4 linked regions of the Drosophila melanogaster genome follow. The protein of the gene in region 3 interacts with the protein of the main gene of each other region in a pairwise test. Each region holds a gene or a part of one and is shown on either strand. Other genes may lie near its edges. The genes, in order: PolZ1, CG4849, fkh and Pex2.

The links.
Region 1: the proteins of fkh (region 3) and PolZ1 interact in a two-hybrid assay, tested with the Drosophila melanogaster proteins (one large-scale study listed by BioGRID).
Region 2: the proteins of fkh (region 3) and CG4849 interact in a two-hybrid assay, tested with the Drosophila melanogaster proteins (one large-scale study listed by BioGRID).
Region 4: the proteins of fkh (region 3) and Pex2 interact in a two-hybrid assay, tested with the Drosophila melanogaster proteins (one large-scale study listed by BioGRID).

Annotation. Positions count from the first base shown.
Region 1 is NT_033778.4:7,791,735-7,801,464, forward strand, and holds PolZ1 (DNA polymerase zeta subunit 1), read left to right. Parts: upstream 1-1,890; 5' UTR 1,891-1,961; coding exon 1,962-2,093; intron 2,094-2,151; coding exon 2,152-2,381; intron 2,382-2,438; coding exon 2,439-2,683; intron 2,684-2,740; coding exon 2,741-2,988; intron 2,989-3,046; coding exon 3,047-3,491; intron 3,492-3,560; coding exon 3,561-3,677; intron 3,678-3,739; coding exon 3,740-4,144; intron 4,145-4,201; coding exon 4,202-4,286; intron 4,287-4,351; coding exon 4,352-4,438; intron 4,439-4,496; coding exon 4,497-7,184; intron 7,185-7,249; coding exon 7,250-8,344; intron 8,345-8,408; coding exon 8,409-9,024; 3' UTR 9,025-9,310; downstream 9,311-9,730. Other genes in the region: Gapdh1 (glyceraldehyde 3 phosphate dehydrogenase 1), read right to left, coding at 388-1,386; Nop17l (Nop17 like), read right to left, coding at 9,709-9,730. UniProt on the Drosophila melanogaster protein: As the catalytic subunit of the DNA polymerase zeta complex, plays a crucial role in translesion DNA synthesis (TLS) and various DNA repair mechanisms. Lacks an intrinsic 3'-5' exonuclease activity and thus has no proofreading function.
Region 2 is NT_033777.3:27,961,228-27,968,793, reverse strand, and holds CG4849 (uncharacterized protein), read right to left. Parts: upstream 5,380-7,566; 5' UTR 5,241-5,379; intron 5,115-5,240; 5' UTR 5,107-5,114; coding exon 4,993-5,106; intron 4,933-4,992; coding exon 4,264-4,932; intron 4,206-4,263; coding exon 4,114-4,205; intron 4,055-4,113; coding exon 3,863-4,054; intron 3,810-3,862; coding exon 2,307-3,809; intron 2,242-2,306; coding exon 1,884-2,241; 3' UTR 1,836-1,883; downstream 1-1,835. Other genes in the region: betaTub97EF (beta-Tubulin at 97EF), read left to right, coding at 1,203-1,525, 1,593-1,688; CG31131 (uncharacterized protein), read left to right, coding at 5,614-6,753.
Region 3 is NT_033777.3:28,579,675-28,587,939, reverse strand, and holds fkh (fork head), read left to right. Parts: upstream 1-2,675; 5' UTR 2,676-3,386; coding exon 3,387-4,919; coding exon of another isoform or gene 4,920-5,465; 3' UTR 5,466-6,964; downstream 6,965-8,265. UniProt on the Drosophila melanogaster protein: Fkh promotes terminal as opposed to segmental development. In the absence of fkh, this developmental switch does not occur. The nuclear localization of the fkh protein suggest that fkh regulates the transcription of other, subordinate, genes.
Region 4 is NT_037436.4:8,336,425-8,341,794, forward strand, and holds Pex2 (peroxin 2), read left to right. Parts: upstream 1-2,626; 5' UTR 2,627-2,730; coding exon 2,731-2,766; intron 2,767-2,832; coding exon 2,833-2,910; intron 2,911-2,965; coding exon 2,966-3,397; intron 3,398-3,451; coding exon 3,452-3,751; 3' UTR 3,752-3,852; downstream 3,853-5,370. Other genes in the region: Cpr66Cb (cuticular protein 66Cb), read left to right, coding at 313-324, 1,165-1,404, 1,488-1,724; CG7083 (uncharacterized protein), read left to right, coding at 4,729-5,370.

The sequences.
Region 1 (9,730 bases), on a different chromosome or scaffold from region 3:
GTACATACATACATATGGTATGTACATAAATAGAAACATCGTTCCTTTGGGATTGGGATGACTCTCCCAGGCGAAGCACAGATACTTATTTGTGTATTCACTGCATATCTCAGCAAGTCCGCCCGATATAACCTTCACACGCCCTTGGGCTTACACAAGCAACGTTCTTCATTCGATGCACAAGTTTTATTTTTCAAATAGCTGGCATTTAAATACAGTAACAGGGCGATACTTTATTCAACAACAATAAATATGTAGCTTTGCGTAATTATGGCTATTTTGTGCATTTGAAAAAAAAGCATCCTCAATTGCGCCCCTTGCGGATTATGCAACAGTGATTCCCGACCAGCTGCTGGGCGCCGGGTTTGTACGATAGTTTTGGCTAGTTTAGTCCTTGCTCTGCATATACTTGATCAGGTCGATGACGCGGTTGGAGTAACCGAACTCGTTGTCGTACCACGAGATTAGCTTGACGAACTTATCGTTCAGCGAAATGCCAGCCTTGGCGTCGAACACAGACGAATGGGTGTCGCTGAAGAAGTCGGTGGAGACCACCTCCTCATCGGTGTAGCCCAGGATTCCCTTCAGGGGTCCCTTGGAGGCCTCCTCGACCTTAGCCTTGATTTCGTCATAGGTGGCTCCCTTGCCCAAGCGGACGGTAAGATCCACAACGGAGACATTGGGCGTGGGCACGCGGAAAGCCATGCCGGTCAGCTTGCCGTTCAGGGCGGGGATGACCTTGCCCACAGCCTTGGCGGCTCCGGTGGCGGCCGGGATGATGTTCTGGGCGGCGCCACGTCCATCGCGCCACAGTTTGCCAGAGGGACCGTCGACGGTCTTCTGGGTGGCAGTGGTGGCGTGCACGGTGGTCATCAGACCCTCGACGATCTCGAAGTTGTCATTGATGACCTTGGCCAGGGGAGCCAGGCAGTTGGTGGTGCACGAGGCGTTGGAGACCACCTTCATGTCGGGGCTGTAGGCGTCCAGGTTAACGCCGCACACGAACATGGGCGCATCGGCGGATGGGGCCGAGATGATGACCTTCTTGGCGCCGCCCTTCAAGTGGGTGGACGCCTTGTCAATGGTGGTGAACACTCCGGTGGACTCCACCACATACTCGGCTCCAGCACTGGCCCAGTTGATGTTGGCCGGGTCGCGCTCGCTGAACACGGTGATCTTCTGGCCGTTCACCACCAGGAATCCGCCCTCAGCCGCAACGGTGCCCTTGAAACGACCGTGAGTCGAGTCGAATTTAAACAGGTAAACCATGTAGTTGACATCGATGAAGGGATCGTTGACGGCCACCACGGAGGCGCCCTTATCGATGGCGGCGCGGAGCACCAAGCGGCCGATGCGGCCAAATCCGTTAATTCCGATCTTCGACATGGCTGAGTTCCTGCTGTCTTTTCACTTTTACTCTCGTTCAGTTTCAGTTCGCTATTACGACTGCCGCTTTTTCCTTTTCCCGGAGCTTTTTTCGCAAATTAGGAGAATGGCGCTGCGATGGCGGGGGAGGGTTGATGAGTATTTCGCTAGCTTTCTGCGTAGGTCACACTTAAATAAAGCTAATGTGAAATAAATCGATTAGAATTCCATTTAAAACTTTAATTTTTACAAAGGGTTTGATTATATAAGCGCCTTAAAAAGAGCCTCTAACAACTAATGATATATATGGGTTGTAGGACCCTTTACGTAATTAAGTTTATACAAAAATTAGCATTGTCAAGTATAAAATTCCTTCATCTTGCACTAAAGTTTTTCTTAACATTGTTGCCAAGTTAGTTCTTTAAGTTCTAGAGCTCTTCTTTCAATTTAAAAATATTTATTTTACGTTTTTGCCCTTAGTTTGAATTCAAAAAGCAACAATCGATAGATCGATACTTTTCGATACATGGTCACTCTAGTTTGAATTGAATTGACAACAAATAGCTCTGCGAAAACGAATCTGAGTTTTGGCGAAAATGGCAGCCGCAGGAGAGGCAATCGATGGAGTCTACTCCGTCCGGCTGGTCATCGCGGATTTCTATATGGAGAAGCCGCAGTTCGGAATGGATCCGTGCTATTCGGAGCTGCGCGGCAAAGAAATCAAGCGGGTGAGCCGGTCTATTTCACCACAGTAAAAACTGGTATAACGATCCATTCCACTTCCAGGTGCCAGTGATTCGAGTGTTTGGCGGCAACTCCAGAGGCCAGAAGACCTGCATGCATGTACACGGAGTTTTCCCCTATCTATACATTCCGTATGACAAGAAGGATTTTGAGTCCCTGGAGCGGGGCATCCTGCAGATGGCCATGCACCTGGACAAGGCCATCAACATATCCTTGGGTCAAGGCAGCTCCAACGCCCAGCATGTGTTCAAAATTCAGCTGGTCAAGGGCATGTGAGTTCTTTCTGGACGACTTCTTGGCGTAAATCTCTAACCGACCTCTCTTTACAGACCCTTCTATGGCTACCATCGAGTGGAACACCAGTTCCTCAAGATCTACATGTTCAATCCCCGGTTCGTACGCCGCGCCGCCAACCTTCTCCAAAGCGGCGCCATTCTGAGCAAGAACTTCAGTCCGCACGAGTCGCATGTGCCCTACATTCTGCAGTTTATGATCGACTACAATCTGTACGGTATGAGCTATGTGCATGTCCCGCTGGAGGTTCTCAAGTTCCGGCGCAACCATGACGATGACGGCAAGCTGGATACATCATCTATTTAAGTTCCTAACTAACCCGTAACTAACCCTTTAGTAATCCCCTATGCAAATGTCAAGCAAGCGCAGCTTCTGGACATCACAACCGCTAAGAAAGTGGCCTGCAGTGCTTTAGAGGTGGATGTCAGCTCGAACTTCATACTGAATCGGTTCCAGCTGGTGGCGAAGAGTAAGAGCAACCACACTAACCCCGGCATCGAGGCCATCTGGAATGATGAGAAATTGCGCCGACAGAAACTTGTCGAGAAGCACACCGATGCTGGCGATGAGGAGAAGGCTGAAGCGGTAATCCGGGAATACATCTTGTATTGATAAATCCTACAGCCTTGTCCATCCATCGTAGGTGCCAGTATTGGAGTTACCGCCAACACAGGAGCGGCATCAAATTGAAATCGCCGAAAGCGATATCTTCTACCGCACCGCTCTGGAGAGCAAGCTGATGACACTGGAGCAGTCCACACTGTCCGAGCAAACGTTGTCGGATCAGACAATCCTTCCCCAAGCAACCATGCAGACCACCATGCCCGGCACAAAGGCACAGAAACGCAGGTTTAACTTGCAAAAACTTCTAGCCAACGCCGTTTATCCGGAGGAATGCTCACAGGATCAGCAGCAACTGCTGGTTAATGCTTCCTTCATACAAAACCATGTTACCTGCGGCTACAGCAGCAGTGTCAGTTTGTCAACCTCCAAGGATGAGTCCGATGACTTGGACGAAACTGTAGTGGATGAGGAACTAATACTGAGCCTCACACAGCCTCATGGAGCGATACCCCATGATGCCACCTGTGAGTACACGGTTGCCAAAATTACAACTCGCACTTTGGTATAAACCAGTTGTTTTCTCCTTGCTTCAGTGAGGGAGGAGGATTTGGAACTTTTGGACGCGTTGCAGCTGTTGGAGGAGCAGAATGAAAGTGAATCGCATGTGGACTTAGACAGTTCGTTGGCTCCATTGTCGCAACATAAAAAGTGTGAGTTGTTGTGAAATGGAGTTGTTTTTTAATAAATGTTTTACACTGATCTCTTTTTGTAGTCGAACTTACACCCGAATTGTTGGACAAGGAGACCGCAGCTACTGCTGCTCTTTTCGACGAAGATGTTGACTCCGACGAGGATGCCGACCAAGAAACCCGACATGACTTCTCTACCGTCCTAGACGATGTCGATGAGTTGTTGCTTAAGTTAACACAAAGTCAGCCTGCGGAATCGAAGGAACTGAAAGCATCTAGTAAACTGCCCCAAATTGATGGTGCTGATGATCGCCTACAAAGGACCCCCATTAAATCGATCAGCTCTAAGTCAAAGTCAAGTCCTTCAAAGACTCCAACAACGCCAATAGGTCAGAAAAGTCTTCCCAAATCGCCACGTACTCCGAAAACCAGTGCAGCCAAGAAATATGCGCCGCTGGCTTTGACAATTGGAAGCAGTTCATCAAAGAGTGGGTAGAATTGATAACGATCACACGAATTTTTTTTGCAATCATAACCAATTGCAGAAAGCAACGATGAATTCGCAGGGAGACCATCTAATCCACGCCTCAGTTTGCAGCTAGACCAAGGAACCGGAACGGGAACACTTCGGTAATCAAATTCTTTGTTTTCATCATATGTACCAACATTTCTATGACCAACATTTTTGTTCGTAGGCCAGAAATCTCATTGCGCAAAAAACTAGCCATGTCGGAGATGCGACGGAAAAGTTTCGAGGACAGTTTTGTGCTCTTAAAGAACGAGTATGGTTAACTGATATCCTTTATGGCAAGGCGATTTATATTATTGTTTTCCCGATAGTTGTACTCCAGTTAGGAGTACCAGACGATCAACTAGCAATCTGGACAAAACACACATTATTTGTTCCCTTACGCCGAGGGACAGAAATCCTGGCTTGAGCGACATGTTCGAAACAGAGGACGGCAAGCAATTACCACCAAAGAAAGTAGTAAGAAAGACGCGATGGAGCACTCGGAATCAAGATATAGAAAGTCTACCCAAGGCCGGTTGTGAGATAGAGAGACCCCACAGGTCAGAAGGAAGTGCCTTGGATGAGCTGAAGCCGCGTCGCAGTGCTCGCCATAAGGTTAATTCGGCAAATCCAGATGAGTGTTCCAGCGAAATACAAACAACTGGGCCACGAGTGACGACTACAAGTTTGGATAGACCTCAAAAGAAAGCCAGACTATCCCAAAGTCCCAAAGAAAATACTAAAACAAGCATGAATGGAACTGTTGCATTGGAAAAAGCAACAAAAGATAGTTCATCTAACTCAGAGAGTCCGCATCAGCAGGAAAACTCTGTTTCTGAACAAATCGAATATCTCGAAAGTAAACCAAAAAAGTCTGATGAAACTGCACGAAGCTGTGACGAAAAGTTACAACGTGAGCTAATTCCACAGGAACCAGCTGGTATTTCGCCTGGAGATTCAGCAAACTCCACGGAGGAGATCACATTTAGTCCATGCCATGATGAGGCTATCGAATCCGACACGGAAAGCGATTATATAGTCACCAAACTTCGTAAAACACCCAACTTGAAACGCCTTCGATGGAGCATTCGGTCGGAGTTGCTGAACAAACAATTTACTCCCAGTTCAGGCATAAGACCCCCTGAGACTGAGACCACTCCTCAGCTAAGTCCCAAAAGCAATGAGAGCAACACACCGGAGCTGATGCGAAGTTTCTATGAGCATTCGCTGATTGTGAACAGTCCGTCGGTCTTCAGTGACTTCTTGGATAGCCCCGAGATACATATGGATTCTCCTAGGTCTGCTCCTCCATCTCCCGATAGCAACTCGTTCGTGATTGCCCCCTTGGAGCTGCCTCCATCCTACGATGAAGTGGTTAGCGGTAGCCGTAAAATGGACATACCCGAGTACGAGTTCCAAAAGCCATACTACAGCAATCCCTCCGATGTGAGCAAGGTGACGGAGGTGGGCTTCCTGGTGCTCCACATTCCGGGGAACAAGCTAAATGACTGTGATCCCTTCCAGAGCATACTGGGCAATGATCGTGGCCTGGCCTCCTGGCGTCGTCGGCAACTGATAGCCATTGGTGGCCTGGCAATGTTGCAGCGACATCGGGGAGAACAAAAAGTACGGGAGTATTTCAGCACGCAACAAAGAATAGCAATCGAGCCAGCACAACTAGCACCCACCTGGCAGGAAGCCAAGATCTGGTTGAAAGCCAAGGAACTCCTTCGTCAACGAGAGGAACCAAAAAAGTCCTCTGATGACATAGACAGCCCCATCAAGATCAAGCGGCAGAAGATCACTATGATGCTGCAGGCTGAGGAAGGCGATGGCGGAAGTGGCGATGAAGATGCTGGTGAGGAACTCGATTGCAGTCTAAGTCTAACGCCCTTGTCCCAAGCTAAGGATAAATGCAAGGCAACCCCTACCAGTAGCAAAGCCAGAGAAACAGGAAAGAGTCGCCTTAAGCGCGGAACTAGGCTCAGCTTCATAGGAAGCCAGGACGAGGAACCACCAAGCTCGCAGTCCAGCGAACAGAGCGTCTCCAGTAGTGCGGCCCAGGCGGAGCTAGATCGTAGTTCCTTTCTGCGCCAGTTAGAGGGCAGTAGCCAGGATAGGCAGCACGACCTCAGCTTTGGACTTAGCCACGCTACCTTGGACAACACGTTCGGGTTCAAGGTTAATTTGGAGAATCTGCAGCAGGCCAAAGCCGACATTGATTGCAACCACCTGACAATCATAACGTTAGAGGTGTTTGTGTCCACGCGAGGTGATCTCCAACCAGATCCGATGCACGACGAGATTCGGTGTTTGTTTTATGCTATCGAACACAGTTTGCCGGATGAAAAGCTGCCTAGCAAAGCCTGCGGCTATATAATGGTGAACACTGTCCAGGATTTGCTAAGTGAAGGACCTTTTCATGGTATAGATCGCGATATTGAGGTGCAAGTAGTGACCAGTGAAGCGGAGGCATTTGAGGCGTTGCTGGCTTTGTGTGAACGGTGGGATGCGGACATATACGCAGGGTACGAAATCGAGATGTCCTCTTGGGGCTATGTGATTGATCGGGCCAAGCATCTGTGCTTCAACATCGCTCCTCTGCTGTCCCGAGTGCCCACACAGAAGGTCCGGGACTTTGTGGACGAGGATCGGGAGCAGTTCACCGATTTGGATGTGGAAATGAAGCTCTGCGGCCGCATTCTGCTGGACGTATGGCGCCTGATGCGCTCCGAGATTGCACTGACGTCGTACACCTTCGAAAACGTAATGTACCACATTTTGCATAAGAGATGTCCCTGGCACACTGCCAAATCCCTCACCGAATGGTTCGGCTCACCCTGCACCCGCTGGATAGTAATGGAATATTACTTGGAGCGTGTGCGTGGCACCTTAACTCTCCTGGATCAGCTGGACTTACTGGGACGGACTAGCGAAATGGCCAAGCTCATTGGCATTCAGTTCTACGAGGTGCTGTCGCGCGGCTCACAGTTTCGCGTGGAAAGCATGATGCTGAGGTGAGTGTAACCCTTGAGCGCAGGCAAAATATGTTGCATCCTCCCTGAACTCTCTGTCTTCATAGAATCGCCAAGCCAAAGAACCTGGTGCCACTTTCACCCAGCGTCCAGGCTCGCGCTCATATGAGAGCTCCCGAGTACTTGGCGCTAATAATGGAACCGCAGTCACGATTCTATGCCGATCCCCTAATCGTGCTTGATTTTCAGAGCTTGTACCCCAGCATGATCATCGCCTACAACTACTGCTTCTCCACGTGCTTGGGTAGAGTAGAGCACCTGGGTGGAAGTTCGCCCTTTGAATTTGGCGCGTCGCAGCTCCGAGTTTCGCGGCAGATGCTGCAGAAGTTGCTGGAGCACGATCTGGTTACTGTTTCGCCATGCGGCGTTGTGTTCGTGAAGCGTGAAGTGCGCGAGGGCATCCTGCCGCGCATGCTCACCGAGATCTTGGACACGCGCCAAATGGTCAAACAGTCGATGAAGCTCCATAAGGACAGCTCTGCACTTCAGCGGATCCTTCACTCACGGCAGCTGGGCCTTAAGCTGATGGCCAATGTTACCTATGGCTACACCGCCGCTAACTTCAGTGGCCGAATGCCTTCAGTGGAAGTGGGCGATTCTGTAGTTTCCAAAGGACGGGAGACCCTGGAGCGTGCTATCAAACTAGTGGAGAACAACGAGGAGTGGAAGGTGCGTGTCGTCTATGGCGACACGGACTCCATGTTCGTTCTTGTGCCGGGTCGAAATCGAGCTGAAGCTTTTCGAATCGGCGAGGAGATCGCCAAGGCGGTCACCGAAATGAATCCACAGCCAGTGAAGCTAAAACTGGAGAAGGTCTACCAACCTTGCATGCTGCAGACCAAGAAGCGCTACGTGGGTTACATGTATGAGACAGCCGATCAGGAGCAGCCCGTTTACGAGGCGAAGGGAATAGAAACTGTGCGGCGAGATGGTTGTCCGGCGGTGGCCAAGATGCTGGAAAAGGTGCTGCGCATATTGTTCGAGACGCAAGACGTCAGCAAGATCAAGGCGTACGTGTGCCGGCAGTTCACCAAGCTGCTGTCGGGCAGGGCCAATCTGCAGGACCTGATTTTCGCCAAGGAGTTCAGGGGTCTCAATGGCTACAAGCCCACGGCTTGTGTGCCAGCACTGGAGCTCACGCGGTAAGCTACGAGACATTCCTTCTTTGCCATTCCTGAATTGTATTATGACCATTTTCGTTTTCAGTAAATGGATGCAAAAAGACCCACGACATGTGCCGCGTCGTGGCGAACGCGTCCCCTTCATAATAGTCAACGGCCCGCCGGGCATGCAGCTAATCCGCCTGGTGCGCAGCCCGCACGACATCCTGGCCAACGAGGGTCACAAGATAAACGCCATCTACTACATTACCAAGGCGATTATTCCGCCGCTGAATCGCTGCCTGCTGCTCATAGGCGCCAATGTGCACGACTGGTTTGCCAGTCTGCCGAGGAAGTTGCTCATGACGCCGGCCGTTGGAACCGCCAACGAATTGGCGGGTGCACGCGGTGCCAAGTCCACCATCTCCCAGTATTTCTCTACCACCAGCTGCGTGATCGACTGTGGCCGCCAAACCAAGGCGGGCATTTGCCCAGACTGCCTGAAAAACGCCACCACGTGCGTAGTTGTGCTCTCAGATAAGACAGCGCGTCTGGAGAGGGGCTACCAACTAACTCGGCAGATATGCCAGGCTTGTTGCGGACGCCTGGGTAGCCTACAGTGTGATTCCCTCGACTGCCCAGTGCTGTATGTCTTGGAGGGAAAGCGAAGGGAACTCCAGCAAATCGAGCACTGGAACAAACTCCTTGAACACCACTTCTAATGCCAATCAATACTCGTATGCAGGTTGGATTTCTCATTCATAAGAGATGTATATGTATTTTAACTTGCAGCTCGCTTATAAAAGTTAAAATTACATGCATTGATTCAGCCAGTGCTTCTAAACATGTACGTAGCTTATACTCTACTTATGCATTGGGTGATTTTGTTGTGTGTAATACTAGAGGAATTGTTAACTATTGATATTGTTTAGGTTTATCGTGTTATGATTGTTATATGAGCTGAGCATGGAGCCAATAAACAAGCGTTTTAATGTTTACTTAAAACTTGTAGTTTGCTAACTTGTAAGACATCATTGTTGTGTGTTCTTCAATGAGAATGAATATGAAATTATCGATCTATAATAATAGGTTTCTTTTTCAGTTCAGCGTAGGATTTCATCTTGCGTTTTAACAATTTCAATGTTTAACCGAATTACATAACACTTAGTATTTGATGTAATGAACATTTTGATTTCTGATTTAGCCCTGATTCGTGTTGCCTAAATACAATTTTGTGTATTTCCAATTGAGCAATTCGCCTCGATATAAAAGGAATTACAGTATAAATATTAAAAAAAAAAAAACGTTGCGTTAGTTAACATTTATGTAGTAGCATTTAAAAACCTTGAAAACATGCCACTAAATCACTCAAAAAATATGAATATATTTATGGTTTAAATAACATCCTAATCATCCATTTCAAACATC
Region 2 (7,566 bases), 620 kb from region 3:
ATTCAGGAGCCCCCACACCGGCTTATCCCAGTCAACTTTGTCACTTTGTCATGGGCAGTCGGCGGCGCACCTGTCCGCCGCTTTTCCGGACCCGCAGGCACGTAGTCGAGCCATCAGGGGCGGATCAAGGGATCCGCAAGGAGCGGTTTTTAGAATAAGAAAAAAATTGAAAGGCTGAAAACTAAGCAATTACCAAAACTAGTGGTAGTATTACCAAACCAAACCAAAGGACTGTCTGACAAGGAAGACATCGTATAGATAGAGATCTGAGCCGCATCTGCAGGACACCCCCTTAGAATAGAACGACACAGCCGCCCCTGGCCAACACCTTGGACTCCTGGGGCTTGGCTTTGGCGACGATTTTATTAGCGAAAGCCGAGCACTGGGCCTACTACTTATGGGCGCCACTAAAAATGATTAATGCCCGCTGGCTGGCGGCTAAAAAGGCTGCAATCCGTCAACGCGCACGTAGCGCAAATTTGTTAGCCATGGCATCGTGGCATGCCGCCCTCGCCACGCCCACCGAAAAGGTTGCTTCGCATTTTTTTTTTTTCGCGCTAATTCCTAAATTAATAAACTGCGATGCGGCGCCCAAAAGTGTGCCGCATAATATTTCATTTGCTATTCCTTGTGTGCGCTCGCGCCGCTTTGGCCCCTTTGCTTTTGACTGATGACTCGCAAAACGCGCGTAATTAGAAATTTACTTTCAAGATCCATTGGGGAATTGCGACCGCCGCCTGACACGGCCCCCAGGCCCAACTAATCATGCCGAACGTGACTTGGCCTGCACTGCGTTCCAGCGCACCCGCACTCAAGCTTAGCCCAGGTTCAGCCCAGATCCGGCGTCACCATCTCAGGATTCGTTATCGTCTCCGACCGACTGCCAGAAATACTTGCAAAATAATTAATCACAAAAATGTGCGGAAAAAATGCCAGCGAGCAGGAATTTAAACAACTTTTTTAGTTACCTCCTGGGACTTTTTCACTGTTTCCATTCCCAAGCTCCGAGCTGAGATCCCAGTGCAGGTGCCCGGCCAGGTGCGCAGGCAGAACTTGGAAGCCATTTAGTATTTCATATTCAGGGATTTGGGGATTCCGCCGGCGCATCAAAGCGAACTTGTCTTTTGATGTAAATGTTTAAATGCGCACAGGAAGATTGTACGAAGGCAATTTTGTTTCAACGCTCTCTCAATAATTAACAGGACCCATGTCCATGAAGGAGGTGGACACGCAGATGTACAACGTGCAGAGCAAGAACAGCAGCTACTTTGTCGAATGGATTCCCAACAACGTCAAGGTGGCCGTCTGCGACATCCCGCCCCGTGGGCTCAAGATGTCCGCCACCTTCATTGGCAACTCGACCGCCATCCAGGAGATCTTTAAGCGCATCTCCGAGCAGTTCACTGCCATGTTCCGGCGCAAGGCCTTCTTGCACTGGTACACCGGCGAGGGCATGGACGAGATGGAGTTCACCGAGGCCGAGAGCAACATGAACGATCTGATATCCGAGTACCAACAGTACCAGGTTAGCGATCCCTCCATATCCTTGCAAAGTATCTCTAAAAACGATTTCCATTGGTTTCCTCCTTTAGGAGGCTACCGCCGACGACGAAGTGGAGTTCGATGACGAGCAGGCCGAGCAGGAAGGCTACGAGTCGGAGGTCCTGCAGAACGGCAATGGCGAGTAAAGTCCTAGAAACTATCACAACTGTAGCTGTTTTCTGTATACTATTTTGTAAATTATTTGTCCCGAAAAGGCTTCAAATAAATATTTAGTAAATATAGTAAAAAAAAACACTACTCCCTTTAAAGTTCGCAATTGAAATTCGGAAAGTATGTCTAAATGTTTTATTTGTTTTCCCGATTCCTGATTTGTGGGAAGTCTAAAGCGGGTAGTTGATCAGCACATCCTGGCGTGCCAACTCCAGCAACATAGGATCGTCGAAGAATTTGTTGATGGACACGTCCTCGGACAGACCCTTCCTGCGACGCGTCTTGATCATAAACTCTCTGGCCAAATGGGATGCTTGCTGCGGCTCCAGTGGCCGGATTATGATGCTCTTGTCCAGGGGATCGCCAGGCACTATCTGCCAGTGATGGAACACCGAAAGGCAGAAGGCCTGGCCCTGGGTGTGCGTGCGGAGATCCGTCTCAAATCCAAATGAATCAATGGCGGGTATGAAGGCTTTGATCGTATATATGGGAGAACCCGATACGGGAGCATCCTGCGTTACGTGGCCTCTGCAAAATAGATTATATAAAATTTAGAGGCATTCTCTTACGGAAACATGAGCAGCAAAACTTACCTGCGCCTGGCCAGCACAGTATAGACAGCGGATACACAATCTGCCGGCGCCTGAACCTCCACAAATAGATATGGTTCCATTAAACGTGGGGTGGCCATCAAAAACGCCGAGTATGCCACACGACGGGCTGTTGGAATGATCTGTCCACCGCCTCGATGCAACGCCTCGTTGGCGATGACGCCATCGAGAATCTTAAACTTGACATTACGGATTGGCTCCTCGCACAGCGGCCCTTCTCGCGTTCCCCATTGGAAGCCCTGCACAATCGAATCCTTAACCGCGGTCAGCAGGTTCTTGTCCACTTCCGAGGGCAGGGTGTCGTCGACCAGGATATTTGGACCCGTGGAGTCGGGACCGAAGGCCCAAATGGAACGCGCCGCAAGCAGATCCCAATCGTAGTTGACTTGGAAGAACTCGCCGATGCGCTTTTTGTTCCAGTTTATGCAGACGGTTCCGTTCTCAATGTCCTCGGCCAGTCCCTTCTCCAGTGGCTCCGAGATCATGGTTATTTTGTTTTTCTTATTCGGCGTTTCGGCGAAACATTTCAGGGAACTCGTTTCCACAACTGTTTCGCAAAAAGCCACGACGGGATCCGCCACTTTGATGTCGATCTCGGAGTACATCTTCCGCAGATCGTGCATGACACAATCCAAGTACAGCTCGCCAGTGCCCAGAATAACATGCTCGCCGGATTCTTCAACTCGAGTGGAGAGAAGTGGATAGGATTTATTCACCTTGCGGAGGCCATCCAACATCTTGGGAAGCTCGGATGGATTCACTGGCTCCACAGCAATCTTGATAATGCTCTGGGTGTTGAACTTCAGTGGTCGGAATATGTAGAGGTCTTCTGGAACATTAATATCCACAATTGTGGAGGTCTTAACGATACACTGATCGATGCCTTCGATGAGCACCCAATTTCCGGCGGGTACACGATTTAACTCCACCTTGTAACGAGACTCAAATACCCACAGACGACCGACTTGCAGAATGCGAGAGTCCTCCTCATCCTGCAAGGTGTAGTTCTCTCCCAGGACACGCACCTCCTGGCCAGCGTGTAGAGTACCAGAGACAATCCTCGCCAGCACTTGGAAGAAGGTACAGTCGTCGTTGGGATACATCTTGGAACTGTGCACCATCAGAGTGCCGTATTGGTTGCATGATATCATATCCCGGTAAATGTCACCCTCTTTGGGTCCAGTGTATATATGGTCCACCTTTCGCTTGGCATTTTCCAAAGGGGATTTAATGTGCTCCACGCACATATCCACAAAACCGCTGCAGTCGCCCATGAAGCGGTTACAGACGAGACGCAGCAGTGGTCTTATATTGGACTTCATCTCCTCCTTGGAGACGCGCACATTCAGCTCGGCCAGAGTGTCCGACAAAGTGGTGTCCACATCGCCAACCACCTGGGCTATCAGCTTGTACATGGGCTCCAAAATGAACTCCACAAAGCTGCGCTGTGCCGAATTGTGCGGCTGCTTCTTCGAGAACTTGCGCCTATTAAAATAGTTGGTATTAGCAAATGATTTGGATATTTAGGCAGCACTTACGTTTTACTGTTGAAGTACATGTCACCCCAGAGCCGCTTGGCAAAGTCCAGGTAAGCCACTCCCTCATAGGTGTCTGCATACAGCTTGGCAAAGGATTTCAGAGTGAAACAAAATCCGTACAACGAGCTGGCGAAGCACACGTTGCCCAAAATAGGCGAAACTAAGAGATTGTCATCTGGAGCGCCATAGGTGCTGTAAGAAAATTACACATTAGTAAAATCATTAGTGTTGAGTATGAATCACGTAATCACCTCAGCAGCCCATTGACTTCCTCCACAATGTGTTTCAACTTAAAGTAGGCGTCCTGGGGCGGCAATTTCAGCTCCAGGATGAGGCGATCAATCTGCACGTCAGAGGAAACCATTAGAAAGTTTAGTGTCACCTTAAGGCCAAACCCTCACCTTGTTTATGCAAACGGTGATAGCCTGGCGCTCTTGCACCGCGTGCTTGAGCAGTCGCTCCGTGTTGAGCATGACGCCCTCGGCGGCATCGATGAACAGCACGACACCATCGCTCATTCGCATGGCGGCGGTGGCCTCGTCCGAGAAGTTGACATGCCCCGGGGTGTCGAAGATGTTCAGCAAGTAGCTCTTCTGTTTGACATCCTGCAGGACAAGTGTGACCGGCGTGGCCTTGATGCTGCAGCCGCGTTCCTGTTCCGTGAACAGGGTGTCCGTGTAGCGCAACTGGCGCTCCTCCATGGTCTCAAATTGCGGATGCGTCTGCCGGATGAGGCAGTCGACAAAGGTGGTCTTGCCGTGGTGCAGGTGGCCAACCAAAGCCACGTTGCGAATAAGCGGCGGAGTGTCCATGAGATCGGCCATGAACTCCATGTCGTAGGTGGTCTCCTGCATGTCTTGCTCCTTGATCTGGAACTTGAGCTTCTTCACTGGCTCTATAAGCGGCTTGTCCAGCGGCTGGGCGTCCTCCTCCTGGACAATGGTCTCCACATCCGGGCCGTAGACCTCAACTGCTGACGGATAGTAGCGTTTGTCCTCGTGCAAAACCACGGCGGTCACCTCCTTGTCCTCGTCCTCCTGTGGCTCCACCTCGTCCTCGTCCATGGCGTCCTTTAAATGAAACACCATAAATTAATTATAAGTTTTATTTTATTTTTTGCACGTTTATACCTCTGGGTCATCCTGCACATCGGGTTGCCCATAAATACTTTGCTCATCTTCCTCGTCGCTGTCTAAATCGGGGCCAATATAGTTGCCAAACTCATCGTACAAATCGGAATCCATGGTTTTTCCTAAAATAAATATATATATCAATACTTTCATTCAAAATTTGCCGGTGGCGTCTTAGAAAATTTAAAACTTTCACGGTGACTCGAAACTTATGCTACTCTTGTTTTTTGTTGTTTTTACCGACTTACCAATTGTTACAGGACCTTCTGATTGCTAAATTCTTCTTTAAAACGTAAGAAAACTGCAAATAATATAATTATTCACAATTTTTACACAAAAACGCGGACTGCAAACACGCTGTTCTTCTTCTTCCCCGAAAAACACTCAGCTGTTAAGCGGCCGGCATTACCTACGGCATTGCCAGCACAAATAAAGTAAGCGCTTGCAGCCCTGGCGGCAACATTTGAATTTTCCAGTTCATTAGGGCTAATTAACGTTTTTGCCAAGAAAGCAGGTAGCTAAAATACGCGTTGAAACGTAGGTAGACCCTTGCGTTTATATTGCACTGCAGTCGCCAAAGGTAATTAGTCGAAAGTGTCAACCGAAGGTATCAGCATCATAATGAGAAAATTCTGTTTGCTTCTTTTAATGGCGCATTTTGTGGCCTCAAGCCGAAATTTAAACGATATTCTCGGTCGCGAGGAGTGGATTAGCATAGCCAAGGAATACATCAAGAACCACAAGCCTTACAAAGCCAAAATCTACACACCCTACAAGCCGCGCATCGTAAATTTTACCAATCCGTTCGATGGAGATTTTTGGGACACAACTACGGTGGCCACCAATCCGCAGGAGACTACTGGCTACTTCACTGGGGAAGTATCTACTACAACGGAGAAAAGTGCCACTGAGGAATCTACAACTACGGCGGTGGATTATTCAACCACCGAATCTAGTTATGTAACTTCAACCACGGATACTTTATATTCCACGACAACAGCTTGGCCGGAAGTCACCAGCACAGATGCTATAGATGCCACTGAATCAGTAGCCCTATATTCCACAACAACTTCGAGTCCAGAAGCTGCAGATTCAACGACAGAAAGCAATTCAGACAGTACTGAATATGCTGAATCAACGTTAATTTATCCAGATTTATCTACAGGATGGCAAGAAACTACTACAGAAACCATTCAGAGCTCTACAGGATTGCAGGAATCAACAACAACAGAGTTTATGCCAAGTACTACGGAATTTCCGGAATCAACGACTACTTTAAGTTCTGAATTTTCAGAGAAAGAACTAATAAAAACTACCACAGAAATAGAAATCAATCCAAGCACTACAGAATTGCCGGAATCAACGACTGAATCTGCTGATTCTACCACAGAACCGAACGAATCCACGTTTGCATTATCCACAGATCAAACTACAACTGAAACAGCAGAAACTTCAACAGAAGAATTGTTTTCAACCACAGAAACCCAGGAATCTACTACATCCTTGCTGGAAATCATTGCCACGACTCCGGGCGTGGAAACTACCACGTCGTATCTGGATGCAGTGATTGACAGCACCGAAGAGGAAAGTTCTACATTATCAACACCATTTGGATTTAATTTAACAACAACGGAAATAGTAGAAACTCAAGTAGAAACCACAACACCAAGGCAATTGAATTTCGTCGAAGATTACGTTCGCCAGAGACCGAGAAAATTGAAGTACTCTTCGGACACGGAGCCGGAACTTTACTGGTACTGAAAATGATTGCAAATAAAAATTAAGAGTTTGATTAAAAATTTTTAGAAGCAAAAATTAAGAGTTTTAATTTAAATAAAAACGTAAAGCAATTGGCAACGCGATTTAAGCTATGGCTTATTTTAAACTAAGAAACGCGGTCACACTGGCCAAAAGCCAAACACATTGTTGTTTGATTTTTCAGCAGAAATTTTTTATTTTTTATTAGTTTATATCGTAAACATGAGTTTGTCCAGCATAAAACAGAAAGAAGCTAAGGGCAAAAAGAAATTGCTGCCCAAACTGCGCAATATTCTAGCCAATCCTTACAAACAGCACAGGTGAGGCGGGCAGAAACCAATAAAAACCCAATCAACAGGTTGTTTCTTTTGACTTTAGCCCTCTTTTATCGGAGGAGGAAGTGCAGCAGTTCCGTCAGATCCTTCAGAATGCAATTAAAAGCAGCGACGGGCAGACCAAATCGTTTGCCACTCGATACGGAATACATCTCGGCCTGGAGAGCTCCCTACGCGCCATAAACTCGCGGCGTTTCTCCTGCCTATTGGTTTCCTTGAGCCTGCGACCAACTCACCTCGTCCGTCTAATGGCCACCAGTGCATCTGTCAAGATGCCCACGTGCTCCTTGATCTGGAACTTGAGCTTCTTCACTGGCTCTATAAGCGGCTTGTCCAGCGGCTGGGCGTCCTCCTCCTGGACAATGGTCTCCACATCCGGGCCGTAGACCTCAACTGCTGACGGATAGTAGCGTTTGTCCTCGTGCAAAACCACGGCGGTCACCTCCTTGTCCTCGTCCTCCTGTGGCTCCACCTCGTCCTC
Region 3 (8,265 bases):
CGATCATCTGTTGCTGCTGTTGCAAATGGTTAAATAATCACAAATGAGCCCCGATAATTGGGTTAAGCCAAAAAATACAAAGCAAATAAGACAACGAAAACCGTTTAAACGACATTGATATGGATGTCCATCGTCCGATGTCCCATGGTGGCCGGGCATTTTAATTTGTGCGAAAATATTGTTCAAACAAATAAATCAACAATAACCAATAATAACAATAAAAATAAATATTATTCGTATTATGCCACCACGCCGATATAGATATAGAAACAGATACAGCTGCGGACGTCATCTATCTGAGAAATGTTGGTCAAATTCTCCGGTTGATATATATGTATATGATTTTGTAAAGTCATTGCCACACGGCGCATGCGTCACATAAATGCTTAAAACAAACAGAAAGCGCAGCATTTTAAAGCCATATCAACGAAAATCAAAACAAAGCGGCAAAAAAGTAGTAAAGCAAATATTTTCCATAAATAACCATTTGGGGATGCGTTGGGCGCCAACAATTGAAACTAATTAAAAAGTTTGACCATGGCTTAGAGCCGAATACATCCGACTGTATCAAAAAGGCAGCCAATCTGAATCCGAATCGCAATGTAAATCGCCATGTGAATCCGACCTACAGTGGCGCGCTTTTAAAGCAAATAAATAAATAGATAAATGACTAAAGGTAAATAAGTACACATTTTTGGACTGCCTGGCATTACTATTTGCAGAGAGTCTACGCCAAAAAAGCACACATTTGATGCGCTCTGAACAACAAAAATACCTACCAACCCAACGCCCACACGGCAAACATTAATGAGCCAAAGCCACTTGAATTGCCTGTGAAATACAATAAAAATATTAAATATTTAAGCACATTACGGTTATTAGAAGTGCACATAAGGATTTGAGTACATATGTGCTCAGTCACCGAAAGTGTTTGATGTTTAATGATCATCACGATGGGATATAGATATCCGAGTGGCAAGCCAAACAATGTTAAACAGGTTAAATATTATGAATACCATTGTTGAGCGAAAGATTTTTTCCTGATTCAGTTTCGCTTATCTCTCAATCTTATCTAACCCATGGTTATTGTAAACAATTATTCAAACAATTTGAAGATAATCTTGAATATGATAAAAATATTACTCAGTAGTGCTTTTGTGAAGGGGAAACGGCTCTATATGACATAAGTCATTAGTCATTATAATTACTCGGAAATGGGGCGATCATAAAAATGTGATTTCTCCCACAAGCGAAATGTTTCATTACATTTCATTGATAATTTCAAAAATTCAATGTCTCAGCGCCTAGATGAAGGCTACAAAAAAGTGAGAGGAGAAAGAACTGCTGCATTGACAAATGGAAAAGTAATGCGGAAATTCCCCGCTTTTCCTCCCGCTCAGGTAGATCTTAATTGAGCAAAACATTCATTGAGAAACGAGACAATCGTCCTTTTATGACACGCAATAATGAGCCTGGCTCACACACATACACTCTCACGGATTGGCACACACTCGCACACGGACACACACACACAGGCACTCGCAGATACACTTGGCCAAGCGAAAGGGTTAAGCGGAATAGGAAAGGCGTCTATGGTTTATGGCCCGAAATTAGAATGCGTTTTATCCGGGACCATAAACGTGGATAAATTGCCAGGATACCAGGAAGTAGCTGCCAGCACGCGCTATCAATGAACTGTGGATGCTTATGTTTCGGGTATCTTAGGTAGGATGCAGTGGGATGCTCGGATGAGATGCGGCTGATGCTGGCCAGATGCAGAACTGGGTCACTTTCGCAATGACTTGCCAAAAAGGTGAACTGCGCCGCTGTTCTGATGATTTGCTGCTGCCGCTCGCGATGCCTCGCCACGAATGCGAATGGGAATGAATGAGAGTGACATTGGCATACCTTAACCTCAAAAGGGAAAAAGCGGTACGGATACGAAAAAAAACTGGCTGAAAAAACACACACAGATATTATTAAATGTCTTGTTTGGGAGCCAAACCCAGCCAAGCCAAGCCAGGCCAGGCCAGGCCAAAACACTCGGTCTTTTTGTTTCTCTCGAAAAACAGAGCGTCGTCGCATTCTCAGTCTCCCCAGAGATTCGGTCTCCAGAACCCGTCTTAATGGTTTTTTTTCCACATTTTTTCTTTTTATTTTCTGATAGCACGCTACGGCGAGAAGGAGAGCGAGCGATTATTGATCGCATTAGGGAAAATCGTTAACTGTAACATGGCGTCGCTCAGCATTAGGCTAGGCCACTGCGAATGTATCTGCAGCTGTATGCGTATCCGGTATCTCTGCCCGTGTATCTCTGTCCGCACCGCTGAGGGTGTGTGAGTGGAGGGCGTTGCTGACTGCGGCCTGGCCACGCCCCCCCAATGGCCAGTTGCCTGGCAACCGGCCCTGCTCTGTTGATACAAGAGGCCAACCGACCAATGCGCTTGCGCCGCAGCACCACTGTGTACGTAAGAGAACCGCCGCCTGTCATTGGTAACTCCGCCAGGGTGGTGGTGAGACGCACTATACCGCCGGGCCATTGGCGAGAACGAGTCGGAGCTGGTGCTGCCCGGGCGCGTCGCTGCTGCCGCTGCCGCCGCTGTCGACGCCGACGTCGGCCGAGGCACTTGAGCGCGGCTCGAACAATATTTGTTGGCAGCAAGCGCAAGCCAAATAGTAGACAAGCGTTCCCCTCTGCAAACAGTCACATTCAAGAGCTCAAGCCAAAGAGACACTCGAGCGGACCAGCAGCTAAAGCGGCAACGGCAACAGCAGCATCAGCCAAAGCAGCAAAAGCAAAAGCAGCAGCAGCAAAAGCAGCAGCACAGCACAGCACAACTCCCAGCTTCAGACTTCAGTGGCCAACAGCCAGCTAGATATTCACGTTCGTGCGTCGGTGTTTTGTGGCCGCTCGGTGCGGCAGACAACAAAAATCCCCATACAAAAATACAAAGAAAATACAAAAAGAATCGAATCATAACAGAAAATAAATATATATTTTATATGATTATCCCGCACAAATAATTAAACCACGGTGTGTGTTTACAAACAAAGCTTAGAATCAGAATCAGAATCGCAAACGGAATCAGAACCTTCCAGCCAACAAGTGACAAGTGCCGAAGTGCTCTCGATAAAATGCCAGATATATGCAAACCGATTGAAGCAGTGATAGTGCACTGAAATCACAGTTGATATACAATATATCAGAGTAAAGCCACGTTTTAAAGACCTCCTTTTTGATTTTCGTTTTAACTAACGCGTTGCAGAACGCGTTGCCTTTTCCATCGATCCACCAGAGGGCAGCGCCTCCGAAAGCCGGCAACATAACGGCGCAACTATTGAACAGCTTTCTGAAGGGTAGCCCCCACCAGACCACCATTGACATCATGCAGAAGCTCTACGCGGAGCCGCCTCCGAGCAGTGCTCCGGTGAGCATGGCCAGCTCGGGTGGCGGTGGTCCTCCGTCGGGCGGCGGTGGAGGCGGCGGCGGAGGAGGAGGCGGTGGGCCCCCACCGCCCAGCAATAACAACCCGAATCCGACGAGCAACGGCGGCAGCATGAGTCCCCTGGCTCGATCCGCCTACACAATGAACAGCATGGGCCTGCCGGTGGGTGGCATGTCATCGGTTTCCCCTCAGGCGGCGGCCACATTCAGCTCCAGCGTCCTGGACTCGGCGGCGGCGGTCGCCAGCATGAGCGCCAGCATGAGTGCCAGTATGAGCGCCAGCATGAATGCCAGCATGAACGGCAGCATGGGTGCGGCGGCCATGAACTCAATGGGCGGCAACTGCATGACCCCCAGCTCGATGAGCTACGCCAGCATGGGATCACCGCTCGGGAACATGGGTGGCTGCATGGCCATGTCGGCAGCGAGTATGTCGGCGGCGGGATTGAGCGGCACCTATGGCGCCATGCCGCCGGGATCCCGGGAAATGGAGACGGGATCGCCGAATTCCCTAGGCAGATCGCGGGTGGACAAACCAACTACGTACAGAAGGAGCTACACGCATGCCAAGCCGCCATACAGCTACATCTCACTGATCACCATGGCCATTCAGAATAACCCCACCAGAATGTTGACGCTCTCGGAGATCTATCAGTTCATCATGGATCTGTTTCCGTTCTACAGGCAGAATCAGCAGCGCTGGCAGAACTCCATTCGACATTCGCTGAGCTTCAACGATTGCTTCGTAAAGATTCCCAGGACGCCGGACAAGCCAGGAAAGGGATCGTTTTGGACTCTGCATCCGGATTCGGGGAATATGTTCGAGAACGGGTGCTATTTGCGGCGACAGAAGCGTTTCAAGGACGAGAAGAAGGAGGCCATTAGGCAGCTGCACAAGAGTCCGTCGCACAGCAGCCTGGAGGCCACCAGTCCGGGCAAGAAGGATCACGAGGACTCGCACCACATGCACCACCACCACCACAGCCGGCTGGACCATCATCAGCACCACAAGGAGGCGGGCGGAGCATCGATCGCCGGCGTAAATGTCCTGAGTGCAGCGCACAGCAAGGACGCGGAGGCCCTGGCCATGTTGCATGCCAATGCCGAACTGTGCCTCAGCCAGCAGCCGCAGCATGTGCCCACACATCACCACCATCAGCACCACCAGTTGCAGCAGGAGGAGCTGTCGGCGATGATGGCCAATCGGTGCCATCCGTCGCTGATCACCGACTACCACTCGTCGATGCATCCGCTGAAGCAGGAGCCCTCTGGCTACACGCCCTCCAGCCATCCGTTCTCCATCAACCGCCTGCTGCCCACGGAGTCCAAGGCGGACATCAAGATGTACGACATGAGCCAGTACGCCGGCTACAACGCCCTCAGTCCGCTGACCAACTCACACGCTGCCTTAGGCCAGGACTCCTACTACCAGAGTCTTGGCTACCATGCGCCCGCCGGAACCACGAGCTTGTGACATCACCAATACCCGCTGGCTTAAGGACGCGCGGAGCAGATGCTGCGCTCGCAGCAGCAACAGCACTTGCAGCAGCAGCACCAGCAACACCAGCAGCAACAGCAGCAGCACCAGCTGCATCAGCAGCAGCAGCAGATGCAGCAGTCGGCGCAGCAACTGACATCCGCTTCCAATACACCAGCAACATCAGCAAAGGCCAGCGGCAAGGCGGGATCGGCTTCGGCCTCGGGATCTGGGTCAGGATCGGGTTCAGGATCGGGCTCTAACTACTCACAGAAGCTGCAACAGCAGCACCAGCAGCAGCAACAACAGCAGGCGGCGGCGCAGCAGCAACACCACCAGCAGCAGCAACAACTGCTGCAGGAACTGCAGGAGGACTCATCGAACATCACCAGCGATCTGAGCGAGGAGCAACTGCAGCAGCATCAGGCCGCCCAGCAGCAGTTGTACAACAACTATCAGCAGTATGCCGCGGCGGCAGGCTACAGAAATTGGAATCACGGCCTGGCTTTCAATGGAGCCGCCGCTCTGCAGAATCTTCTGTAGCTATAGCTATAGATCCCGATCTCCACAGGCAGCGGCTTTGTAGCGGGCCTGCCAATTAGCGAGTGCAGTGGCGGTGGCTTTTAGCACCTGGCCGCATCCGCATCCGCACTCGCATCCTCATCCTTTGAGCACGTGAGTCTTGGGCCGCAACTCGCACTTGTACATATAGAGATACCTATGAAGAGCCGATCGAGAGCGCTGCCTTTTGTGTTGTTCAGTTCCAGTACTATATATTGTAGATTATATAGATTCTGTTCCGGGGGGTTATTAAATCGACATAGAGCAGGAGGAGGAGGAGCGAAAGAAACCGTGATGTAGTTGTAAGTGCAGCAGAACTTTTGTTAACAATTTTACGTTTTGCTAATACAAATACAAAATAATAATTCCGTGCCATTTGTTTTCGTTGTTTCGAAACAAGCAATAACAATCAAAGCGGTTATAACTGAAAATTTGAAATCACATTTTAAATGTATCCGATTAAGGAGAAGATTGAGGAGAGGAGATGTAAAGAAGGGATCGTGTGTAATGTTCTTTCATAAAACAAAGCCCCAAATGAAACAGTCCCAAAAAGAGAGATACAAATACTAAACCCTTTATCCAAAGGCAATCGCAATCGAATTCGAATCGCAAAAGATCAAAACCAAAAAGAAATCTAAAACCGAAATCATCATATTGAGCAGTCCAGCAAAACCCTAAGAATCTTCAACTATCTAAGCAACAAAATCTGGCCATGCATAAGAAAACGACACGTTTTAACTGAATAATTTAACAAATTTCCATTTATATATACGCGCATCGATATACGCCCATGTATCGCAAAATCCCGCATTTCATTTACATTATGTGTCTTCTGTTGTTGTACGAATTCGTTAGATTAAGGCATTTTGTAAATAATCTATAAATAGATACATTTAAGCAACCCCCTCCCCAAGAAACCCAATTTAACTAAGGACCCATTGCAAGCAACCAATTTTTAACTAACTCGAGAATTAATCAAATTGTATGAAATTATGCCACACCACTTGAAAGTAAACATAGTATAAATATAAATACTGTATAGCATTTAACGTTTAATTAGCATAAATAATGAAAGCAAAAAACAAAAATGAAAAAAAATCACATAAAAAGCGAAACTGCAATTATTATTCAATAATTTTTAATATTAGTTATATTGTGCGTAATGAAAAATAAAAAACCAATTGCAAACACAAAACAAAGACCCATTTTTACATTGAGCTAAGCTAATTAATTAAACTTGATAAAAAATAGTCTAAATATAAACACCCACACACACACACACATACTGACACTGACAGACACAGAAACAAATGAAAATTATTGTAAAATACACAATATAAAATTCAATAAATGTCAACGCAAGAATTAAAATCCAACTCTAAAGCTAGTAAAATTAATATTATTATAAATCATGCAAAACAAACACAACGTCAACGACAACCAAAATCGACTATTTTAATGTTTGAAATACAAGAAAAAGGAAAAAAAGTACCATAAATTAGTTTTCATTTCCCAACCTTTGTTGACTCAAGCAACTGACCTCCAACAATCATTTATATATTGATTGGGCCGCCCGGATGGCTGACTATCTCCATCGACGCTATCGACGCTATCAATGCAGCGAATTCGAATTGAACGACCGATAGCTGAGCTGAGTAGTTCCAGGAGTCGCTATCTTATCGCCGTCACTCAGATGCAGAGTGCAGTTTTCCACCACTACCATGCCACGATAAACCCTTATCGCCGTGCACTCATAAATTGCAACGGAACAAGAAGGTAAACAAACAACCAGGATGGGACATGGGACCCATCCCAGCCCATCCCATACCGTCCTATACCGACCCATTCCCGCCCGGACTTGACACACTGACTAACCCATCTCAGTCCAGCACAACCCAGCCCGATCCCTCTGGCCAAAAAGAGCGGGAAGGGTAGTGGATATCTTCTGCCCGACTTGACTCGACTCCCCTCTGTTTGCTTTCTAGTAATATTCATGGAGCACTACGAGCCGAGTTCGAGCACCTTCCCTATCGCTGCAATGGACCTTATCGCTGCAATATAACCCAACAGAGCCTGATCCGACGCAGTTCCCCCTGGCGAACTACTACCACCTTTTGATTAAAATCGGTGTGATTCATTTGGAAGAATCTACGATCCAGGTCCTACGATTCTCGGACATTCCGAAGACATTAAAATTATTGCTTATCTAGAGCTCGGGCATGAGCGTGTTTGACGAGCAGTTGTCGCTTTTAATTAAGCGAGAAGGTCACCATTTTCTATATGTCCATACGACACATTTTATTTATATGTATGTACATGTGTGCCTGTGGGGGCGACTGGACTGGCTTTAATACATTTTTTATAGCCTCCAAGCCGACTGGAGATGTTCCATAAAGAGTTCGCTTTGTTGTTTAGCTAGGGTCGTGCCGTCGACGGTATTGGATTGTATTGGACTGAAAATGGGTACGGCGGATAGGGGATAGGGGATTGGGGACTGTGGGATTGGGGACTGTGGGATTGGGGGACCTGGCGTATGGGCGACTTGGTCTGGGTCTCGGTCTCCAGCAAAAGCGACAACAAAATGGCGCTTCGTTTGTTGTCGCTTCAATTTCGATTTTTCCTTGACATTGTGACTGTCAGCGTTCTGGCGGAGTTTCTTCATTTTACCCCGGCTGGCAAACAACCCCATCTGGGCTGGCTTAGGAAATCTGTGTTTTGGGGTTGGTTTGGCTAAACTGACAACCACCCAATGGTCCCACCACCCAACCACCCACTCGGACCC
Region 4 (5,370 bases), on a different chromosome or scaffold from region 3:
TTTTTATTCTAAGTGCATTGGGGCTGCAAACATCAAACCCCAAACAATGGCAAACAACAACCACAAGTGAACTGTTTTACATTCGGTTCAAGAGACGCTCCGCTCACCGAAGACAGCAAAGTCGCTGCTGCAAACCACCGCTGCTTGAATCCACCGAGCCACCGAACCACCGCTGCCAGCCGATTCACTTTCTTCCTAACCATATAAAAGCGGCGCATTTTGGTTGCAACCACATTATTCAGTGGTGAAAAGTCGTTGCGTGCAGTCAACCAGTGATCTCCAAATAAATCGCGAGCTAAAACTCAAACTAAAATGGCATTCAAGGTGAGCAGCAGCAGCCAAGGATAAAGGATAACGATTGTGAACAACAAACTATACAGCAAAAAAATATCCTAAAGGATACAGCAAAACGATCTGAGGATCGAGTGATATTTAAGAAACCAAGTGATTTGGTGGTGAACGAAGTGGAAAAGGTGTTCCAAATCTCCAGCAATCATTAAAAGGATATTCATATTAAAAATGTGATTTTTAATTTCAATATGCAATGATTTTTAATGGAAACAAATTTTATTAAACATCGGAACAATAGGATACTGTACTATTTACTATACTAAAGAAAAATTATAAATGTAGAGAATGACAGACTAGGAGCTCAAAGAAAGGCGCTTTTAGTAAAATATTCGTCAGGACCACTAAATTTCAGTTTAAAAATCATCCTGACAAAATTTCACTAAATCAATTTAGCTATTTTGTGCTAATTAAAAAACCAATTTAAAGACAACCTCAAAAACCACAGTTCAAACAAAAGCACCTATTAAAGTAAATCGTTTTAGGATTTAGGAAAAAACTCACACTTTTGCTTTAGTTAAATAAACCTCCCGCTTAGTTAACCAACAAATTTGCAGTCAGCCAGTAAACCACAAAGTAACCACTAAAAGTATATCCAAACAAAAGCGTCAGTCGACCACAGCAAACACTTGATTATGAATTCATTAAGACCAGCAAGAGGAAAAAGTCCGAAATTGCAAAGCAGCCATAACATGGATAGCTACTGTCTGTGGCCAGCAAGTCCTCCAACGCTAATTGCAGCACTTGCAACTACACACACTCCGTCAACGGAAACAATTAGTTGCTAATTATGCACCCACCTATCTGATCTTGCAGTATCTGATCTTCGCCTCGGCTCTGTGCCTGAGCCTCGCCTATCCGTTGGAGCACCAGTACTACGAGGAGAGCCATGGATATGAGCACCTGGCCCATCACGAACCGGAGCCCATCCATGAGTATGGCCACCATCAAATCGAACGCATCTCACTGGGCGAGGAGCACGGTCACCTCGAACACGCTGAGCCCCACTACGAGACCCACGAGTCTCACGGACATGATGAACATGTGGATTACTATGTGAGTATTGTTTCTGAAATTCAAAATTACACTATAAACTATAATCAAAGAGATGATGATGATGAAATGTTGTTTCTTAACAGGCTCCTCCCAAATATGCTTTCAAGTACGGCGTGAATGACTTCCACACCGGAGATGTGAAGTCGCAGCACGAGACCCGCGATGGTGACACCGTCAAGGGACAGTACTCCCTGGTGGAGCCCGATGGTTCCATCCGCACCGTGGACTACACCGCCGACAAGCACAATGGATTCAACGCCGTGGTCCACAAGACCGCTCCAGTGCATCATCATGAGGAGCTGCACGAACACCACTACTAAGCTAGTACACACTGCGCACTAGAGTTAGCCAAATTGCTCATCAGCCGGAAGTGGGAGGAGGATTATGAGGACTAGGAGGAGGGACAAGCATATCCACATCGGTCGACCATGGAATCAGCTTCATATCTCGTAATTAGGACATCAGCACACACCCAGGCCAAGGATCACATCCTGTCCATGGCCATTTCATTAACATTTTGTATATTGTATTTTATTCTGTGATAGCGAATAACTTCTATGTGTATCTTCCGCTTTCAACTGATCCTTAGTCACTACCTGCTCAGACGAATTTACCGATCACTACTCGACTGTTTGCCTTAATCTTTAATCTATAATCTATAATCTGTAAACTGTAATGTATACTTATGTCTTCTCGTAAAACAGAGATCGAACGAAGAAATTGTAAATTGTGTAATAAAGTGTGAATTATGTACTTTTTATAAAATCAAAACTCACCCGACCACTGGCCATAATTTTTTCAGCCGGGGCCAATCATTGAACTTGCACTCCTCAAACAAATGACCAAATGTCTCAGCTGACCAACTGGTTTATGCGTTTCCAGACGTAAACGGCAATGGGCAAGATTTCCACAAATTACCAGACATCGTTAGACACATTTTCCGGATCCCAAACGAGTTCTTCAGTTCATTGTGGTTTCTTGTATTTGTTTTCATTGAAATTGCATAAGCCTTAATTGAAATGTTGACGGAAAATGCTTCCTAAATGGTTAAAAGACTTGGAGTTTCTTCGAAATGTCGATGTAATTGATATATAAGCTGATTTCAATTAGCAATAAATAAAAAATCAAACCGCATTGCTAGTATGGCTAGTTTAAATTTGGCGGGGTTTGTCGATATAGTTTACCAGCACTGTTTAAAAATGTCGATAATGACTAGTAAACTTTCTTTACAATTGCCATCTCTAATTGATAAGAAAGGGCAGAGTACATATAAATAAGAAATATATCAATGGTCAGCTAACCAAAGGCAAGAATATAAACAAAATAATGGAGAAAAACAAATATGTACCACGTGTAAATCAGGTGAGCTAATTATGGTGAGCTATTCATGAATTAAAACCACTAAAATTATACATGTTTACCTTTTAGATAGATGCCATCTATTTGAACAAGGACATTGCCCGCCTGATACGCGATAATCTGCTGGAGAACTTGCAAGCCATCTCAGTGAGTATATGAACACTACCATAATTGGCCAATATATACTGTATATCTCTCACAGCCCGTTTTGTTCATCAAAATCCAACCGGAGCTCGACTTGATCATTCAATCCGCAATTTGGTTTGGTTCCGTCGGCAAGCGGTGCTCCACTTTTGGCCAACAGCTACTGGTTCTGGCTTACGATGCCGAAAAGCTGACCGTTTCCAGGCTGGTGCTCCATTTCATCCTGACCGTCTTGCCGGGCTACGTGAAGAGCTGGGAGGAGCGACGCTTAACAAGGCGCGTAGAATGGTTTAGCGAGGCGATTATGTGGGTGGAGAACAGTGCCCTGATACTGAACATCCTCAATTACTTTCGGTTCCTGAAGACAGGACGAAAACCCACTTTGGTGGACTACTTATTGGGATTGGACTACATTAGTCTGCGGAACAATCAAAGGAGAGACATTGGCTACAAGTACCTAACGAGGGAGCTGCTGTGGGGAGGATTTATGGTGCGTGTTAGTTAGTTTGCTTATTATACATATATATTACAGTGTATATTATAGGAAATCCTCGGACTGGTGTTGCCCATCATCAATTTCCGTAAGCTACAAAGAGTGCTAAAATCATGGACATTTTCCGGACGACGGTTAGAGGATAGAGATGGTCCGGCTTTCCTGGCGCCGCAGATGACACTAAGCACCACCTGCACATTCTGTGGAGAGCGACCCACATTGCCCCACCACATGGGCTGTGGTCATATTTATTGCTATTACTGCCTTAATGCAAATGTTTTAACGGATGCCAGTTTCTGCTGCCCCAACTGCGGTTCTGCGTGTCCTGAGTCGGGAATCCAAAGTGTCTGATAAATAGGAATATAGTGCATGTGATGGTTTTATATGTCTTTTATTAGTTTTAAGCGAAAAGTGGGCTGTAAGTAATAAACAAATCATTTTCATATTCCGCCAAATGTGTGTACTTTTAGTGTTAGCAAGCAGAGTAGTGTTGGTAGTCGTACAAAAACAGCTATTATTTACTTGCCCAGTGCCAGGAGTCGTGCGATATAAACTACATAAAAAGTGTATAATTAAACGAAAATAAAAAGCAAAAACTGTTTAGGGCGAAGTATAAAGCCTTGCGGATCCAAAGTTAACTGCTGATTTTCCAAGAACAACAGTTAAGATCAAAAAGTAAGTTCTAAATCCCTATCTTTGGTAAATAAAAAGCGCGCGAAAATATGGGAACAGCTGTTGCATTCTCAACCAGCGTTGCCAAATGTGGCAAATAAATTAAGCAATTATATGAACTCAACTGTTAAGTAGCTCTAACCGTATTTAAGCCACTAGATTAGATAGATAGACTAAGAACATGATTAATATTCATATTTTTTGGGTGGCAAAGCCACACCCAATTTGTTTTGCAATTTCGCGAATCAGCTGCCTGCGGCGATGTGGCAACGCCATTACTTTGTTATTATCTCATTTTTCTGCTGCGCATTTCGTCTTTGTCCGAATTTTTTTGAAGAAAACAATACAATTAATCGCTTCACCAAGAACACGACAAGTAGTTGGAAACCCACGAATTAAACAATTTTTTTGGAGTTGCGTAATTGCATAAAAATAAATAAAGGCATAACCAGCGAAAATAAGAAAACGAGAGCAAACAATTGAAAACAGAAAGTGCTGAAATAATAACAAATACACTTGGCCATCAATTGCGTATATATATAATTGTTTAAATATATTCGCAACGCGAACTGATTTCACATATCAAGGTCAGTAAGTTGACGACTCGCAGCAACAACAATAACAAACCAAGATCCCTTAAAAACCCCCAGGTGAAAATGCTAGATCTGGAGATCGTGCCGGAGATTTCCCTGGGCTGCGATGCCTGGGAATTTGTGCTGGGCATGCACTTCTCGCAGGCTATCGCCATCATCCAGTCGCAGGTGGGCATCATCAAGGGAGTCCAGGTGCTGTACTCGGATACCACTCCCCTGGGCGTGGACATCATTATCAACCTGCCACAGGATGGCGTTCGCTTGATCTTTGATCCCGTCAGTCAGCGTTTGAAGACCATCGAGGTTTTCAACATGAAACTGGTGAAGCTGCGGTATTTCGGCGTATACTTCAATTCCCCGGAGGTGCTGCCGAGTATCGAGCAAATCGAGCACTCCTTTGGAGCCACACATCCTGGGGTTTACGATGCAGCCAAACAATTGTTTGCTCTACACTTTCGCGGGCTGAGTTTCTACTTTCCGGTGGACAGCAAGCTGCACTCGGGCTACGCCCATGGACTGAGTTCTCTGGTTTTCCTGAATGGCGCCTCACCCGTCGTGTCCAAGATGTCTCTCTACGCAGGCAGCAATGTGTTGGAGAACAGGGTACCATCTCTTCCCTTGTCCTGCTATCACCGCCAGATGTATTTGGAATCGGCCACTGTTCTCCGAACCGCCTTTGGTCACACGAAGGGTCTGAAGCTGAAG